Linked DNA regions of Canis lupus familiaris. The protein of the gene in region 3 purifies or fractionates together with the protein of the main gene of each other region. This does not show direct contact. Links are inferred from orthologs where the notes say so. Each region holds a gene or a part of one and is shown on either strand. Other genes may lie near its edges.

Region 1 (3,516 bases), on a different chromosome or scaffold from region 3:
GCCTTGGAGAAAGATGCCAAGCTGCAGAGTGGGCCAGGGGGCCTGTGCTTCACACATGGATCTCAGCCAGGACCTGGAAACCACACAGGAGGACAAGTGACCATTGTCTTCTGTGACCTTAGAGGCCTTCTTTATATGTTGAAAGATAAACTGACCATTGCAGAGAGGACTTTGGATTTCAGAGAAATACATATATAACACTTTACCTTCAGATGCCTGCAAAACATAAGAATGGTTTAGGGGAAAAAATCCAGGTTTTGTAGGAAGAGTTGGGTTTGAACCCTAGGCTTCCACTTTCAGCCTTTGGCTGATCACATCACCTTTCTGAGTCTAGGTCTGCAATTGTTAGATTAGCCACAGTCTTGAGAAGCTCAGAGAGGTAATAGGCACCCAGTGTGCTGCTGGCTCTTCTCCCCATAGTGATGCTTAGTTCCATTGTTTCATGAGTCAATTTAAACAGGAAATGGAAAGTAATCAGTAAATGTTCCTTTGGCTTCTCACCACTGCAAAACCTTTCTCTTTGTAGCTCTGGATTTACTGGACAAAATGTTGACATTCAACCCTCACAAGAGGATTGAAGTAGAACAGGCTCTGGCCCATCCGTATCTGGAGCAGTATTATGACCCAAGTGATGAGGTAAGACCTATACCCTGGCTGCTGCTTCAGGAATATCTATCAGGCAGCAGTAGGCCCAACCAGGAAGGGCCCAGATGTCACGTTAGATTGGTTCTGAGAAGTGTATGATGCCACACCTGGTCCTCTCAGCCTGCATTGTCTGCTTGAGGACTAGTACTGTCAGCACAGCTTGAAACCTCTCCCTACCCCACCCCCCAAACCCCTTCTGTCTCAGAAAGCTTCCTCCAGGGCACCTGCAGCAGAGGTGGGACTGGGGAAATAGATGAGTAAAGGGGAGCACGAATAAACAGGCAGTCCAAGGCTAGAGACCATTGTCATGGTCTGTGGCAGGAAGAGCTACCTCAATCACAGTGCCTGTCTGAGGGTGGAAAGGAGGCCAACTGCCTGCTTGGAGAGGGGCATTGCAAGGGGGCGGTATGCCTGGTATGTGCCTGGTATGCCTCCTTAGGTATGGGGATACTAGAGCCTCTTGTGGTAAGAAATGCGTCCAGAGGTGGATGTGGCAGGCCTCCAAAGCCAGGTAAAGATCCTGTGTGTAAAAAAAAAAAAAAAAAAAAATCCTGTGTGTCATGTTTATCTCTAAGAAAGTCCCAGTTCCTTAGCCTCTTGGATTCTTCTGGGGCTTTATTCTCTGGATGGTAATGAAGAAAAATGTAGTATGAACCAAAGTTTGGATCTTTCTAGTGGAGGCTCATGCAGAGACAGTAAGCTTTCATAAGAGAACCAAGCGGAGTGTGTTAAAAGGAAAAATGGAAGAGGAAAAGAAAAAGATATAAAAGTTAAAAACTGATAAATGAAAGAGAAAGAAGAAATCAAAAAGAGGAAGTATTTCCTAATTAGCCCCCTTCCATCTCTGTCCCCTACCCTCAGAAATAATGGAGGCAGCTTACAAAGATACCTACAACATAATAAATAATAGGGAAGGAGGGGAGAGTGTAAAGTTTGGAGCTCTGACCAGCCCTATGAGCCCCCCGTGTCCTAATCACAAGCCTAGGTGGTACTCCAAATCCAGTTAGCAGGTGGGAGGACCAGAAGGATGGCATATGTGGGACACCATTGTGACCTCACACATACAGCTGCCCTTCAAAGAGGGCTAACTACTTGTTTTTCTCTTGTGGACACGAATCCTTTTCCCCCTTTCAAAAAACCAATGCTTAGTGCAGAGTTGGTGTCCATGTTTCCTTACCCTGAAGGCCTGGTGTGAGGATTACATGGATAAAATCTAGGAGTGCCTGGTAACTAGGCATCCACTGATTGATAGCTGGAATCCTCATCAGATTAGTTGTAGAACATTGTGTTAGTTTGGAGGTACTTAAAAATCAAAATATAAATAATATCAATTGACTGATTTTCTTTTTCACCATTGTATATATGGAAATTCTTTGACATAGTCATTTTAAATATGTACTTAAATATTAAATAGCCTTCTGATTAGTCATAGGTTGTGCTGAAAAGTAAAAATGAAAACTTGCAGAAAACTATGACAGATCATGTTGTAGTCTTGTTACACAGATATTAAGATTTTGGAGTATTTTCTTCTCAGTCTAATATTTCTGTATCTAAACTTTTTTTAAAAACAGGGTTTTGTTTAACACAAACATGCACATTTCCCCATAATATTATTCTTTCTTACGGCTTCATTTTTAATGACTCCATAGTAATTTTTCATATGAAGATAGTATAATGTATTTAATCAAGTATTTGATTTTGAGTATCATGGCTTTTGATTGTGTAAACCTATCCCCACAACAGCAAATTTCTGTTACTTCAATACTTAGTGCCTTAAAATTTTTTTTTTTTTTTTTTTTTTAAGATTTTATTTATTTACTCATGAGAGACACAGAGAGAGAGAGAGGCAGAGACACAGGCAGAGGGAGAAGCAGGCTCCCCGCAAGGAGCCGGATGCGGGACTCGATCATGGATCCCAGAATCATGCCCTGGGCCAAAGGCAGATGCTCAACCACTGAGCCACCCCGGTGTCCCAGTGCCTTAAAATTTTGAAAATGATTTTGGGATTAGTGGTAAATTCAGAAGAGTGGTCAAAATAGATTTAGTTGCTCCCCGTGCATTTACTGTATGTTCACAGAAAATGTGCCTTTTGGATCACGTAGATGGAATACGGGTACATAGATACTTCTCAGAGCTTTTGGGTTTCCAAAGATGTCAGTGCTACTATATACATTTCAGAGTTGAATCCACATACATTATGAATCAGTACATGACTACCTCAACCACAATCACTCTTGTCTACTCCATGTTCTTTGCTCTCCTACAGCCCATCGCTGAGGCGCCATTCAAGTTTGACATGGAGCTAGATGACCTGCCCAAGGAAAAGCTCAAGGAGCTCATCTTCGAAGAGACAGCTAGATTCCAGCCGGGATACAGATCTTAAATTTATCAGGTACCTAGAGTTTTAGTCGCACAACAAACCCTGGTGAGGGAGAGAGAATATAAATTAAATGTTATTAAAAAGAAAGGGGAAGCCTGGGTGGCTCAGTGGTTGAGTGTCTGCCTTTGGCTCAGGACATGATCCCAGGGTTCCGGGGTCAAGTCCTCCATCGGGCTCCCCACGAGAAGCCTGCTTTTCCCTCTGCCTATGTCTCTGCCTCTCTCTCTCTCTCCCTCTCTCCCTCTCTCTCTCTCTCTCTCTCTCTTAAATAAATAAATAAATAAATAAATAAATAAATAAATAAATAATAAATAAATAAATAAATAAAATTTACAAAATATTTCCTTGAGTTCCACATGGAAGTTTCCTTTGCTTAAGTTTTAAAGGGTGGTGAGCAATGTTGTGGTATCGGTAAGATTTCAAAAAATTGTGTTCAAGAAAAAGGAAATGCAGATCTTGATTTTAGAGAACATACAGAAAGAGGAGAGAGA
Region 2 (3,970 bases), on a different chromosome or scaffold from region 3:
AAGCAGTTATGAAGACTCAGTGAGGTGACCCATGGAAACCAGCCGGCCCAGTCCAGAGCCTAGCATGTTGTAAGTGCTCAGCAAACATGAACTAGTGTTGCTATGATAAATGCCTAAGCCACATGGCTGTTGAGAGGGTTAAATGAGATAGTGTGAACACCATCTGGCATGCAATAAATGTTTGCTTAAAAATAAATGCCTGCCTTATGGGGAATGGTTTGGGCAAGACAAATGAGGAGAAACTCCCAACAGCATGCTCCTCCTCAAAGAGTGCCTGGCCATACATCAGAAGATGGAAGAGTAAATGTCCTTTGGTATTTTAAGAGAAAACAAAGATTAAACATACGTTAAGTAAATAAATAAATAAATAAATAAATGCCATTTGGTTGCTCTCTGAAAGAATAAGTCAGGGCTGTCTTTTAGAATCAGCCTTGAAAGAGCCTTCTGAAGACACCTGGGCCGATTATGCTGTTTGAGAGGTGAGGAGGCCCAGCAAGATGCAGTGACTTGCTTAAGGTCACACAGCAAGCTAGTGGCGAGTGTGGAGATTTCCTGCCCACAGCTTGTGGTGGGGGCTGCAGACAGTGCAGCACAAATCCCCACATTTGGGTGGAGAACTGGGACTGGCTGGGGGTGGGTAGGGTGGGGAGAGGTGATGGGTGCTATAAGCTGCTAACAACAGGGCCTGACAGGAAGTGGACGACAAGCTAGGGAAGCAATGTGGGGGGGGGAGGGCAACAAAGACAAGGCTGTCCCTCCCTGGGCGAAGTGCAAGTCCACAGGTGACTGGGGTGAGGCTCTGAGCAGGAAATGTCAGAGAAAGGACAGTTCTCATCTGGGGGAGGTTAGGAGGCAGCAACAGCAGCACCTGATTTGGGGCTTTCTGAGCCTCAGTTTTCTCATCTTTGAAATGGAGCTGATGAGACCCATCTCATACAGCAGCTGGGAGGTAGAATAAGAAGTGTCAAAGCATTTGGCGTGCACTGCACCTCACTCATAGTAGGCCCTTCAGAACGGGCAGTTTTCTTCCTTCCTGCCTTCCTTCCAGTCTGCAGACCCAGAGAGGAAAGAATCATCATCTGTTAAACAAGAACTGTCTGTGGGCAGAGGCTGGGTCACGTCACAGAAATGCAGATGTCAAAAGACAAAGCTCCCATAGAGCCCAACTCTCACCCTCCCCCCAAATGAGGCACAGCATGGAGCACAGACTTGCCCAAGGCCACACAGCCTGGTTACAGCAGGCCAGGATTCACCTCAGGCCTCCCAGTCCTCTTACACTCTGTGGTCTCTTTTCTGCTGGAAAGTTTCATTTGCTGGGTTTGTTTTGGAGTGTGGCAGGAAAGAAGGAAACAGAAAGAAAGCCAACGTTCTCCCAGCCCGGCTCTGAGGCTATGCCTAGCCAGCCATCTGGCCAAGGTGAAGGATACACATCCCTCATGGCGTCCAGGGTGGGCGCCCGCAGAATGTCCCGAATGCCAATGACGTTCTCATGGCGGAAGCGCAGCAAGATCTGGATCTCCCTCAGTGTGCGCTGGCAGTAGGTCTGATGCTCAAAGGGGCTGATTTTCTTGATGGCCACGCGAACCTTGCGCACGTGGTCGTAAGCTGAGCTGAGAGGGTCAGAGAGATGTTGTTGGTGTGGCCTTACATAGGGGGAGTCCAGGCCTGGTGGCCCTACCCAGGCCTGAGCAGGGAGGGGAGGGAGCATGAGAGGACTCTGGCCAAGTCATAAACAATGCTGGTTCCTTCCTGCTGTGAAGGCCTGGGATCTCCAGGGAGAAAGCTGGGGACCAGCCAGGCAGCCCTTCGGTGACTTCACAAACAGAGGAAGAGACTGACCGTTCACTGACTTCCCCTCTCCTCAGCCCTGTCCATTCTAGTTGCCCTGACCTCTCATCCTCCCCTCTCCAGGCTGGGCTCCTTCAACCCAAGACAGGTCCAGGGAGTGGGAGGTGAGTGCAGGACGCACAGTGAGGCACAGTGAGAAGGAGGCGGTCAGGAGGGATGGGAAAGAAGGGATGAGGTGTTAGGGTCAGGCACCTGGGCAGGAGAGCTGTTCCCAGATGAACAAAGGCCCAGAGCACACAGTGGGGACGAGAGAGCTAACAGACCCCTTCTAAAAGTTGCAAGAACGCACCCCTGGACCCCTCATGGGTCACCGGGCTCCTGGCCCCAGGCCCAAAGCCCTGCCCCACCCTGCCCAGCCCTGAGCTCTGCTCTCCCCAGCTCCTTGGCAGGCCTCACTGGGAGAATCCAAGGCATCCTTTCCCCAGAGTAGGGTCCTTCACTCGGTCCTCACTGATATCACCTCCCCAAGAATACTTCGTGTCTCCGCCTCCTCCCGCGTCCACAGAGTCCCCAGGGTCCCCCCACGGCTCCCCCGCGGACACTCCGATGCCCCTCCCTTCACTACAGAATGGTCGCTCCTGAGGCCTCCCAAGCCCCCTCCCCTTAGAACGTAGGCGGCGCCGCTCCCCCAGAGCACCCCAGGGCCGCGCCGTGGGACGCCCCGCCGGCCTCGTGAAGCCCCCGCCTCCTCGGGACCCTGGGAGCGCCCCGGCCCGAGGGCACTCACCCTCGCGCGCGCCCCCCCACGAGCCCCCTCCTCCGGAACGCCCCCTCACCTGACCATGCCGTACGCGCCCTCGCCGATGTAGTGCAGCTCCGTGTAGCGCGGGCCCACGTCGAACGGCTGCCCCTTCACCACCTCCACCTCCCCCGAGACCCCCGGGCCGACCCCATCGGCTCCCCGGGGCTCCCCGCCCCCGCCCCCCTGAGCCGCCGCCGCCGCCGCCATCTCCACTCCTCCCCTCCCGCCTCCCCGCCTCCCCCCGGCGGCCCCGCCCGAGGCCCCGCCCCTTCCCGCCCGCCCCGCGCCCCGCGCCCCGCGCCCCGCCGCCGGCTGAGCCGCGTGCGCCAGGCCCCGCCCCCGCGCGCCCCCGCGCGCCCCCGCGCGCCCCACGTGACCCCCGCGCGCTCCCGGGCGCCCTCGGCTGCTGCCCGGGTCCCCGGTGCCCGGCCGCTCCGTCTGCTGCTGGCAGCCCGTAGGGACGAGCGCGGCGGCCGGGAGACGGTGCACCCCTCCCGCCGAATGCAGGCTATAGCCGGCAGGGCCGCCAGGTGACCTTCCCGGAGCCACCCAGCAAGCGGGTGCGGGAGCTGGGGCCGGGACCGAGTCGCCTGGCCCCGCCAGCTCTGCTGCCAACCGAGTCGCGGCCCGGGGCTCGAGATGGAGCCCCAAGGGGGCCCTCCCCAGCCCTCTGGAGTGTGGCCTCCGAGCGAGGCTCGGCCCGACGACACACGGCCGCATCCGCATTTCCCAGTAGCGTGGGAGATGGCTTCTTCGCAGATACGGCCTGCCTTTCACAGATGAGGGGCCGAGGCTGGTGACTTGGAGCCACCGAGAACCCGCAGGTCCAGACTCAGCCTAATGGGTTTCTGACAGGCCTGCGAGAGTGGACTAGGGGCTTGGCCTCTTGCCAGCGACAGTACAGTGCTGGAAGTGAGCACCCATAACCTCAGCCCATTTAGGTGGAACTGCAACAGAAGGGCGGGAAAGCTGCCTGCAGTGTTGACCAGGTTTGGTTAAAATACACTATCAGGCTTCTCTCAAAAAACAGCAAAATAGGTGACGATTTTGTTGTCATTGGACTTGGTGAAACTGGAATCCTGGCAGGATCACCATCTTTTGATGGGATGCAAGATTTTGTAGTTTACACCATACTTGGACCAGCTGGGTTTCTTCCATAGGACAACCGCACATTATAGGTGTCCTCCGATTTTCTTAACAGGATGAGCAGGGGCCATGTCTGTCTTGCTCATTACTGTATCCTCCCCTGTACCTGACGCTCAGACGTTCAAAGATTTTTGACTGGATAAATCAAATTGTATGGATGGGGAGTTGAGACTTAAAATGATATCTTTTGACACAGAGGCAGAGGCTCTTTTCAATTCCATTCAATCTCCCAGA
Region 3 (3,516 bases):
TGCTCCTGCCTCTGGCCCCCAAGTCATCCACCCCTCCTCCCCCCTCCCTCCTCCCTGCTACATCCTGAGAGTGACACAGGCCTGGATTTCAGCCGTAGTGCACTCCTGGACCCTGTTATCTGGGCCCTTCCCCCCATCCGCCTGGCCCGGCCCCTGGCCTCACCCTGAGGGAGATGACTCGCAGCCGGTAATCCTCAGTATGAATGACCTTCTGCACGATGATCTCCACACCGTCGTACACCACCTGCTCCTCCGGCCAATACTCAGTGCACTTCTGCGGGGGCCCAGACCAGGCTTCATACACTCACAGTCCTACCACTCCCCGCGCCCCCACCCTGCTCCCCGCCGCCACCCGCCAGCCCCTCCTCTCCAGGACCAGCAGGGAAAGACATAAAAGGGCAACAGGTCTGCGGTTAGAGAGCGCTGGGTTCAAATCTCAGCTTCCTAACCTGTAAATTTTCTTTTTTGAGCATCAGTTGCCTCATCCGGAAATTGGAATACCTACTTTGAAGGACTCTTCTGGGGATTCAATGAAACAGGTTGGTATGGGTACAGACGCAGGCAGGTGAGCCCTGGCTGGAGGGGGGGGGGGGTGCAGAGCAGCCTGTTTCAGGTCACAGACAGCCGGGGTGGAGAGGCCGGCTCCAGGCTCTGCCCACCTACGTGGCCCTGAGCAAATGGCCTAACCTTGCCCGGCCTCCCCATTCCCTCACCTTGGCAGCAGGCTACCAACCTCAGCATTGTTCTAGAGATTAATATGGAAAGGACAGACCCCTGCTAACAGCGCAGGGGTGCCTACCTCGTTCATCTCCTCGATGTTGGTGATCATGACGATGATGGGCGTGTGCTCCTGCCACACCATGCGCCAGAAGTCACCGACTGTGCTGACGATGGGTCCCTGAGTGGCGATGTACACCTTCTCCTCCCCGCCGTAGCCCTGCGGCCAGTCAAGTTCAGGCCGTCAGGGTCCGATGCGGTGCTCCTTGGGCCCAGTCCCCACCCTCAGGCCCTCCCCCCGGGGAGCGCAGGGTGGCAGGAGCCCCCGCTGGCTTAGGGACAAGCCTGGAGGACAGATCCTGTTGGCTTGGGCCTCCCTTTCGGGGGGTGGGGGGTGGGTCACTGGGATAGGGCTACGTACCCGGATGTAGTTGGCGTTGATGTAGGAACTCAGAGGGTCATCAGGGTCTGGTGAGGTCAGACACACTCTGCTGTGGGGGTCTGGGGTGGGGGGAGGTGGGTGAGGCTGGCATGTGACAGGTGCAACAACCCCTCTAGCGCGGGGCCCATCCCATCTGGCTCACTGCAGGGCACCCACATCTCTCCCAGGGCTCCTGAAATTCCTCCTTCCCCTGCCTGCTAGCAAAACCCTGGCCCATCTCCATGGCCCTGGGTGTCTACCTGCACAGCAGGAGTGCCGGCCCCTTGCCCGGGTCCCTCAAGCTGCCCTGGGCTCCCTGGGCCTCATGTTCTGGAGAGGGCAGAGCTAAGTCAAGAAAAGGATGACCCAGGGGACACATCCCGGTCAGCGGGGGCAGCGAGGGTTTGGGTGCACACGGTCACTGACGAGCTGGGTCCACCTGAACGGCACACGGCCTTCCTAAGCCTCAACTGTCCCGTCTGAAATACAGGGGTAAAGCTGCCTACTTCCTAGGGTTGTTGGGAAGACAAATGAGAAAACAGCTGGGAAGGTGCGATGTAAACCGTCAAGTGCTTTACAAATATATAGGGCTGTTGAGATTTGGGGGTAGAAAGCTGAGGGAGAGCCGAGGGATGGAGAGCGCCGAGCCTCCCGCGCCTGCAACGCAATGGCAGGGTCTCCGCAGCAGATGCACACACGTGCACGAAGGGTTTTTGTTTTTTGTTTTCTTTTTTCTCCATCGACTGACATGTCCAATCCCACAGTTATAGATTCTCACAACCTCCTGCTCCTCTTCCTGGAACGGAATCCATTTTGTGCCAGCGAGAGCCTCCCTGAACTGCCTCTTTGGTCAGGCCGCAGAGGCTGGGCCTAGAGATGGGAGGGTGCGTGGGGTGGGCAGGGACGTCGTGGGGTGGGGGGAACGGGGCCCTGGCTTCTGCCCTGGCTCTGTCACCAGCTCACAGTCTTATCCCTTCTCTGGGTTTCCCTTTCTTTCCTAAATAGGGACAGCTGAACTGAAGGAGCTTCCGGCACACAGCCGGGGGCTCTCCGAGACAGTACAGGGAGCCAGAGGGCTGGGTTCGAGTCCTGATGCTGTGGCTTGCTAGCAGTGTGCACCATTGACTTAATTTCCCTGTGTGGGTCTGTGAACTGGAGACATCCCTTCCATCACAGCCCCACTCGTCTTGTAAGGATGAAAGGAGGGAATGGTAGCTTGGCCTTAAACCAGTAACTTAGCCCGGCACACACCATATGGCACAGAGCTTCCCTAGAAGTTAACAGGTAGAGAGGATCCCAAACCGGGTAGGACAAACAGGTGACACTCACAGGCCTCTGCCCTCTGGCCCTTTTATGCCCAGCCCCATGGTGGGGCTGCCCCTGTGGATGGGGGCACAGAGGGGTGTTAGGAGGGCAGAGGGAGGGGGTGAGTGGAGGGGATGCTGCGTGGTCAGTGGAAGGAAGGAGCAGGGCGTGCTGAGGGGCCATCTCCCTTCTTGGCGGTGCCTGCCCAGATTAGGTGTCAGAAGTAGGCACAGCACCCTCGGACCAGACACCAGGAGGGCCTGTGGCACTAAAGAACCACTGTGGGAATGATGACCCCACTGGGCGCGGTCTCTGTGCCTGGTGCAGGGCTCGAGGGTAGGGACTCCTCAGTGAACGAGACACGTCCTTGCCCCCGAGTATGGGGCAGGTGGGCAGGCAGGTAGGCTGCATGGGGTCTGACAGCAGGAGAGGAGTAAGGAACAGCAGCACCCTGTGTGATTGAGTCCAGGGCACAGGGCACAGGGCAGGGGGGTGGGGGGGGGGGCAGAGACATGGCCTGGAGAGGGACCGACAGAGGGTCTTATAAATCAAGGCTGGGCCAAAACCCGAGGATTACAAGGGGGATGGTGACAATGTTTAAGGAAGAGGATGACACGATTGGATTTCTGCTTTCTACCATTTCTGTGCTAACGGTAGCCGAAGAACAGGAGGGAAGAGTGTGGGCTTCAGCAGGGCAGTCAGGAGACGACTGCCTGGCACAACTCCAGGGGTGGTATGGGACTGGGCAACAGACAAGCCCTGGCCCCCGAAAAGTCATCCGGCAGTGAGGATGGAGAGGCTGAGCTGACCTGAGAGACGTTCATTCATTCATTCCCTCCTTCCCTCCCTCACTCAAATAGGAGCAGACTGTCTACGAGGTGCCAGGCACTATTTTGGCACTTGGGACGTGGTGACAAAAAGGACAGAAATCGCTCCCCTGTTATTTTGCCTTCAGTGCTGCCAGCTGGGTCACTGGTCACTCTGTCCTACTCACCGTCCATGGGTCTGTTCCCCCACGAGACCATGAAGTCCCCATGGCTCATTCATGCCTGAAGTCTCAGCCCCTGGGGCAG
Region 4 (3,516 bases), on a different chromosome or scaffold from region 3:
TTTCTTCTCTTCTTCTATATGCCCCTCCCTGCCCCCCCCCCCCGCCTCCCCCACCCCCATTCTGTCTTCTTTGTGGAGATAATTTGCCACCTCAGACTTTAAGGAATGGCTCCACATTCCTTCCTGCCACCATCACTTCCAGGATCCTTTGCAGAGGGAAGTAACAGTGGTAGCTGCAGGATATGTACTGCCTTGGCTAAAATGAAAGTTGATTTCTTCCTTGAAGTTGGCGTTATTATGTGCTTTGGTTGGCTCCTAAAAGTGGCACTGCCTGAGACCCTACCTCCCTGAATCAAGGATTGTGCAGTGGACAGTGCCATTTAACAGCAGACAGGGAAAAATCAGACCAGGCCTTCCTGTGACAGGGAAGGGAGCCATGCCATGATAATAGTATAAGCAACCTTCTCACTTTCCTGAAGATTGTGTTATGTTGGCATGTTAAAAAAATCATCCCTCTGCTTGGTCCCAGCAGCTGTACTTCAGGTTGTTTTGCCCTTTGAGAGCTGATAGTCATGACACCCTTTTCAGAAGTTGTAATGAAGGCTAAGTGGTTTCCCCTTTTTAAGTACTTTGTCCACAGTGCTCGTTGAGAGTGATTTCAGTGTTCCTGTGATAATTTTTACAATAGCAGAGATGCTTACATTCTTCGAAATGTTGGGCAGTTCTGGGTGAGTCTGTGTCAGCCTTGGAGATTGTAAGTATGTGAGTTCTCAGCAGGGCTACTCTCCCATCCAAAAATGAGCCCACAAACTCGTCAGGGCTATACACAGAATTCTATGCCATTGGTTCAGATTTGCATCTGCCCCGATCTGCTCCCCTTGGCTCTGTAGGATTTATTTGAGTTATATTATCAAGTTCAAGGATCTGTGAGAAGCTCTATTCAAGTCATAAATACTCTAGGATGTTGGGAAATTATGCTGGATGCTGGTAGTTTTCTTGTCTGTCATTCTGTTTTGAATGTATTTTCATCCTATCAGTTCATGTTTCAGACCTGGCAGTGCTCACTGTTTGACTTCCTATTAGCCAACTCCAAGAGATTTGTTAACTCATTTTTCTAGAGAAGGGAGATAAGGGGGCGGGGAGTATGTGTGTGTCCCCACAGCTTATTTAGGTCACATCCATCCTTCTCTGGAATCATGACATTTAAACATTCAAAAGAACTGGATACCACTTAGCAATACAGACTGCCAATGAGTTGAATGGAGGCTTTGGGCCATCTGGTGCTCAGCACGGCAGTTCTCAGAATCTAAACATGCCTGATAGCTCATTGCCAAATAGTGACGTCATACAAAGAGTCTCTTCTTGCAGACAGAACATGGTGTTACTGACCACGAACTTGTGCCCAGCATATTAACTGAGCAGGAACACACCGATGATGTAAATAATGACAGCTGCATTTTGTCAGTCACTGACTTCATGTTCGACTATTATTCTCAAAACACGAATTAAAAGTTGAATTGACCTTTGATATAGTGTGTGTTTGTATCTGTCAAGATCTTAGAGGAACCTTTTCCTTACCCCTGACCTTATTCCTCATCAAGGTATTGGTTATCAGGACATGGTTCTTTTCACCCTAGGAACCTCAGTCAGATGTAATGTGTGGTTCTTAATTGGATCCCAGTTTGAACAAACCAGGTGTAAAAGACAACTTTGGGATAACTGGAGAAGTTTTAACATAAACTGGATTTTTAGATGATATTTCAGAATTATTTGTCATATATAATGGTTTTGTGATTATATAGAAAGATGTATTTATGCTGAAATATTTAGAGGTAAAGTGTCATGTCTATCATTTTATTTTAAAATGGTCCAGCAAAAGCTCCAAATAGGTAAAAAAAGAAATAATGTTAATTGTTGGATATGGGTGGTAGGCGTATGAGTAATCACTATACTATTGTTTTGTATATTGAAATTTGTCATAGTGAAAATTTTATATTTCTTTTATCCAAATACCGTGTCTCACCCACACACCCATGTAAAACCCTCAGTTTGTTCATTGTTGGAAGATCTGTTTGATGAATATTCATTGCCTTATGTTAGTAAATAAACAGCACAGGGAGACAAAAAAGTGAAAAATCAAAAAATCCCTGCTTACCTTTTCTAGATTAGTTTGGTTATAAGTTTTCCTTTTGACACAGTTTGAGTACAGTCTTAGCTGTTTGACACTGACATTCTACAAAAGTTTGTTCATACAGAGTTTCGGTTATTTTTAAAACTTGTTCTTTAGTAACGTATTCTTAATACAAAACACATCCCTAGACATACATACACATAAAGAAGAAAAGAGATCATGTTTCTTAGAGCAGACACATGGGGGGAGAATTCTTTGTTCCATATGAAGACTCAATACTGTGTATTTGCTTAATAAGGCCTGATTTTTTTGGTGACGTGTTAAAAACTTTTTTTTTTCCTTCTAATCTGTGGGGCTGATAGCTGTCGACTTGCTGGAGAAGATGCTTGTATTGGACTCAGACAAGAGAATTACAGCAGCCCAAGCCCTCGCACATGCCTACTTTGCTCAGTACCATGATCCAGATGATGAACCAGTGGCTGATCCTTACGATCAGTCCTTTGAAAGCAGGGACCTCCTTATAGATGAATGGAAAAGTAAGTCATAAGAGCAGGATTAACATCAAGTGTGGGAACTTAGATTTTAAAATGTTTCTTAGGTGAGCCACTAACCAAAAGCTGTGGGAAAATAAAATTTCTGGTTATAATCAATTTGTTAAAACTTGTAACTAGTGTGTCTGATGCAGGATGGATATGTTCTTCTGATGGAAACTGTCTGTTGTAGATGATGACACTCTCTGGACCTTTGAGGTGCTTGTGTCTGGTCTGATTTTGTGCAACCCCCCCCCCTTACATCTGTATAGAGCTTCAAGGTTCTCAGAATCTGCGTTTACAACATCTGTCTGAGAGAAGTAGGGAATAAGGTATTTTTGTAGTTTTACGATTGATAAAACTCTAGAATTATAGTTTTATAATTTTTAAGAAGATTTTATTTATTTATTCATGAGAGACACAGAAAGGCAGAGACAAAGGCAGAGGGAGAAGCAGGCTCCCTGCAGGGAGCCCAAGGTGGGACTTGATCCCAGGACCACAACCTGAGCCAAAGGCAGACGCTCAACCACTGAGCCGTCCAGGTGCCCCTATAGTTTTATAATCGATAGTCTGCATCTTATCTGTTACCTTGGACCTACTTAGGGACACAGCCAGAAATGAAACCTATGTCTCCTCTATATCCCAACTTCAAATTCTTTCCATAAAAACACATTCAGAACTCCAGGTAGATCCCAAAGGCAAAATTATCTATTCCGTAGCTTGTAGAAGTGCTCTGCTATTCTTGAGCATCTTCTCCAGAGAGCTTAAAAGAGGAGGCACGGTGGAATGAAACAAATAAGTAAAAATAGTTCTTTTTGTGTATCCTTGAACTTCTATGTAATCACATGTTCCTTTAGGTTATAACATGTAAGCAATGAAGTGGTTATTTGAAGTCGTCCATCCAATCACTGGCCT
Region 5 (3,516 bases), on a different chromosome or scaffold from region 3:
GCCTGCCTTCGGCCCAGGGCGTGATCCTGGAGCCCTGGGATCGAGTCCCACATCGGGCTCCTTGCATGGAGCCTGCTTCTCCCTTTGCCTGTGTCTCTGCCCCTCTCTCTCTCTCTCTCTCTGTGTCGCTCATGAACAAATAAATAAAATCTTAAAAAAAAAAGAAAAAAAAAAAGAATGTGAATACAAAGGAGATACAACTTGTTGTTGTTTAAAAAGTATATCCAGGGCAGCCTGGGTGGCTCAGTGGTTTGGCTCCTGCCTTCAGCCCAGGGCGTGATCCTGGAGACCTGGGATCGAGTTCCGCATTGGGCTCCCTGCATGGGGCCTGCCTCTCCCTCTGCCTGTGTCTCTGCCCCCTCTTTGTGTCTCATGAATAAATAAATAGAATCTTAAAAAAAAAAAAAAAAAGTATATCCAATGTTTAAAAGAACCAGCACTGACAGGCATTTATATCAGTAAGGCGGGTGTAGGGGGAGGTCTCAGAGATCTGCAACAGGCATCTTCATCACAGCCTGTGGTCTGATTCTCCTATTTCTGGTTAGATTCCAGTGTTTGGCTACAAATCCCCAAATTAACATATATCTATATTCAAAGATGGTTTGCTTTGGAGCCCGTATTCTGGCTGACCACAGGACTTCAAAGTCAAGCCAAATGCACCAAAGAATCCACCTGTCTTCAAGGACAGAGGTACAGCCCTGGCTGCAAACCATTTTCTGGGTATGAATCCCACCGGTCTTCTCCATAGGGTGAAGGTACTGACTGTAATTATCTTCTTACATCCTAACATCCTTCAGACAGTGCTCCTCAAACTTTAATGCACAAACAATTCACCTGGGGAGCTAGTTAAGATGAAGATTCCGACTTAGCAGGTTGGCTAAGTCCTGAGACGCTTCACTGCCAAAAGGCAGGTAATGCTGATGCTCCTGATCCTTGGACATTTCCAATAGCAAGATTTCCAGCAGCTTCAGTGGAAAAGGTCTAATACTTACTGATCAGGTTGGATGTGATAGGAGAGAACCTCTCTTTTGCTGTCATGTCATTTAGGCTTTTCACTTTCACGGAACGCTTTATGTAGGGATTCATAATGGAAGCAGCCATTTTAGGTTCCTTCAAGATTTGCTGAAAGTACCAAAAAATAATTTCGTAAACTCCTTAAAGCATAAATGATCCTAGCTGCCACAACATACTTCTTTCGCATGAATCACGTATTTCGTTAATTAGCACTCAAGCACTTATGAAGAGAAGTTTACAATCAAGTACTTTTCATTGCCTTTGAGAATACTTTCTACCTTTATCTCATATATTTCTTGAAAAAATTTAAAAACACTTTGTAAGGTTTCTTAAGTCTATTTTTGCTTTTCAAGAGATTATTAAAAAATTAAGCAGCCAAAATAGTCAATTAACTGCATATTGTTAACGTATTTAATATGGGTAATCCTCTAGATTTTCACAAACTACGAGAAGGCTAGTGATGCTAACACTCATGTGCAGACCTAAAAAGGTGCTCTGATGGCAAAGGAGGCCTCCTTGTCATGCCCTGGGAGGGGGCCTCTATGTCTCAGCCTGGTCCTGCCCCTGCCCTGTCTCTTACAGGGCCCCGTGAGAGACCTCTGGTGTTTCCAGAGAAGCCTCAGCCATTCTGGGATGGGAGGTGGCTACCAGGAGTGACAGCATGGGTCTCTATTTTGTTAATTCATAAATGTCTGTTTTCAGTGACCCAAGGTAACTTCTGGTACCCTGTTCCCCTCTGTATCAGGCCAGAGTTCAATGAACCAATGGCTGTTTCCATCCGGGCACCTTTCGTTCAATTAAATACCCCTGGCAGTCCCTTTTCTCAGGCTCCTGGCCAGAACTGTGAGTCTAATCCAGGCTACTTGTCACATACTAGCATCTAGGGCTAAAATTTCAATTTAAGTGACTCCATAAAAACAACACTTTCCCCTAAAAATTGCTGACTTACAAAAATTAAAAGCATTCTGGTGTTTGGGGAATCCAGTATTTCATGTTTCTAGTTTTTTTCTGCTCCATCATCCAGTGGGAAAGCTTTGTAGTGGCATCTGTGTAGCATTAACACTTTCCTCTCAGTTCTAAAAAACTGCTAATTTTTTATAGAGACTTCAGGTAATTGCTTCCTTTCTATCTCTCTGTATCTTAACCGATTTCCAGGTTTTAGTCAAACCCCATTCTAAGAACCACAACCCAGGTCACGCTCTCTACTGTGAACACTGCTGTTCACGTTTAAAATGGGCATAAATGACAAGAGCGGGCAGTAAGTATCAGCTCCAAAAGAGCTGTGTGTGAGCCTGCCTGCTCTGTGTGGATCATGCCAACTAAGACCGCAAGCATCATCTGCAGACATAAAGGAATACAGAGCTAATGTTATCCACTAGGACAAAAGTTCTGATAAAAAAGCTTACAATGAAAAATGAACAAGTATCATCCTATGTGACTAGCCTGTGAGGGTTTTCTCTTCTGAACAGTAAGATAAAAAAATCTTTAGAAATAAGTGGATTAAAAATACAAGAACTTCTGAAAGCATAATACCAAAAAAGAGCAAAACTTTCTTGGGAGAGGGTATAGACTCCACCTTCAATCTAGAACTCAAAGAGGAGAATTTCAGGATGCCTGGGTGGCTCAATGGTTGAGCGTCTGCCTTCGGCTCAGGGTGTGATCCTTAAGTCCTAGGATTAAGTCCCACATCAGGCTTCCTGCGTGGAGCCTGCTTCTCCCTCTGCCTGTATCTCTGCCTCTCTCTCTGTGTCTCTCATGAATAAATAAAATCTTTGGGAAAAAAAAAAGAGAGAGAGAATTTCTGCTGTAAACAAAATGGGCAGGAACCTGTTAACTAGAAAATGGAGTTAAAATTACAGCAGATTTTCCCCTTTAAGTTACATAGTAGACTTCGGTTAATTCAATTATTTTACTCTTTATGTTAAAAAAAATGTTAAAATGGACTCCCTTGTAAGCTTCATTATCTTTATCAGTTCTCTATTATCATTACAGAGCCCATATGACTTTCCTAATTTTGCTGCCCAGCATGCTGTGCTTGGTCATTTTCCTCTCACATCTTGGGAATAAAATAAAAATTGAAACTGAGGAAAGGCTTCAAAAGGAAAAGAAATTCCTAGTAAGGCACGTTATAATACATTCTAAAAACTATTTTGAAAATACCTGAAATACAAACACAGATTTTCAAAGGTGACTTCTATTTCTCCTCTAAGCCCCAAGTCTTGGTTCCTAATATTAATATCCTGGTATGTATCTGCCTGTACCTACCACACAATAGGTTCAAAATATTAATACCCACTACTATCACTATCAACATGATTTCGGGTTTTTTCTTTTTTTATAGTTCATTTTCTCTCAGGATATGTCTCATTAGGGCTACACGGCCAAATAACCAAAACAAAAAACATATGATCGAAATTTAGTAAGTAATGAACAAAAAACTACTTACTGCTACTCTCAACAATTCCTTTTCTACTTGTTCCAGTTTATTCTGTTTCGATGCAG

The links.
Region 1: the proteins of PTPN5 (region 3) and MAPK1 purify together in Homo sapiens (affinity purification with mass spectrometry; 4 studies listed by BioGRID and IntAct, with this or other methods). This does not show direct contact. The link is inferred for Canis lupus familiaris from reciprocal best matches to the Homo sapiens genes PTPN5 and MAPK1.
Region 2: the proteins of PTPN5 (region 3) and MAPK3 purify together in Homo sapiens (affinity purification with mass spectrometry; 4 studies listed by BioGRID and IntAct, with this or other methods). This does not show direct contact. The link is inferred for Canis lupus familiaris from reciprocal best matches to the Homo sapiens genes PTPN5 and MAPK3.
Region 4: the proteins of PTPN5 (region 3) and MAPK14 purify together in Homo sapiens (affinity purification with mass spectrometry; 3 studies listed by BioGRID and IntAct, with this or other methods). This does not show direct contact. The link is inferred for Canis lupus familiaris from reciprocal best matches to the Homo sapiens genes PTPN5 and MAPK14.
Region 5: the proteins of PTPN5 (region 3) and ATP5PO purify together in Homo sapiens (affinity purification with mass spectrometry; 3 studies listed by BioGRID and IntAct, with this or other methods). This does not show direct contact. The link is inferred for Canis lupus familiaris from reciprocal best matches to the Homo sapiens genes PTPN5 and ATP5PO.

What each region holds. Positions count from the first base shown.
Region 1 is NC_049247.1:31,191,119-31,194,634, reverse strand, and holds part of MAPK1 (mitogen-activated protein kinase 1), read left to right. Parts: intron 1-526; coding exon 527-636; intron 637-2,911; coding exon 2,912-3,028; 3' UTR 3,029-3,037; intron 3,038-3,516. UniProt on the Homo sapiens protein: Serine/threonine kinase which acts as an essential component of the MAP kinase signal transduction pathway. MAPK1/ERK2 and MAPK3/ERK1 are the 2 MAPKs which play an important role in the MAPK/ERK cascade.
Region 2 is NC_049227.1:18,278,792-18,282,761, forward strand, and holds the start of MAPK3 (mitogen-activated protein kinase 3), read right to left. Parts: upstream 2,812-3,970; 5' UTR 2,798-2,811; coding exon 2,625-2,797; intron 1,611-2,624; coding exon 1,428-1,610; intron 1-1,427.
Region 3 is NC_049242.1:41,782,418-41,785,933, forward strand, and holds part of PTPN5 (tyrosine-protein phosphatase non-receptor type 5), read right to left. Parts: intron 1,219-3,516; coding exon 1,139-1,218; intron 938-1,138; coding exon 800-937; intron 275-799; coding exon 164-274; intron 1-163. UniProt on the Homo sapiens protein: May regulate the activity of several effector molecules involved in synaptic plasticity and neuronal cell survival, including MAPKs, Src family kinases and NMDA receptors.
Region 4 is NC_049233.1:5,397,242-5,400,757, forward strand, and holds part of MAPK14 (mitogen-activated protein kinase 14), read left to right. Parts: intron 1-2,433; coding exon 2,434-2,607; intron 2,608-3,516. UniProt on the Homo sapiens protein: Serine/threonine kinase which acts as an essential component of the MAP kinase signal transduction pathway.
Region 5 is NC_049252.1:29,060,816-29,064,331, forward strand, and holds part of ATP5PO (ATP synthase subunit O, mitochondrial), read right to left. Parts: coding exon 3,461-3,516; intron 1,123-3,460; coding exon 993-1,122; intron 1-992. UniProt on the Homo sapiens protein: Subunit OSCP, of the mitochondrial membrane ATP synthase complex (F(1)F(0) ATP synthase or Complex V) that produces ATP from ADP in the presence of a proton gradient across the membrane which is generated by electron transport complexes of the respiratory chain.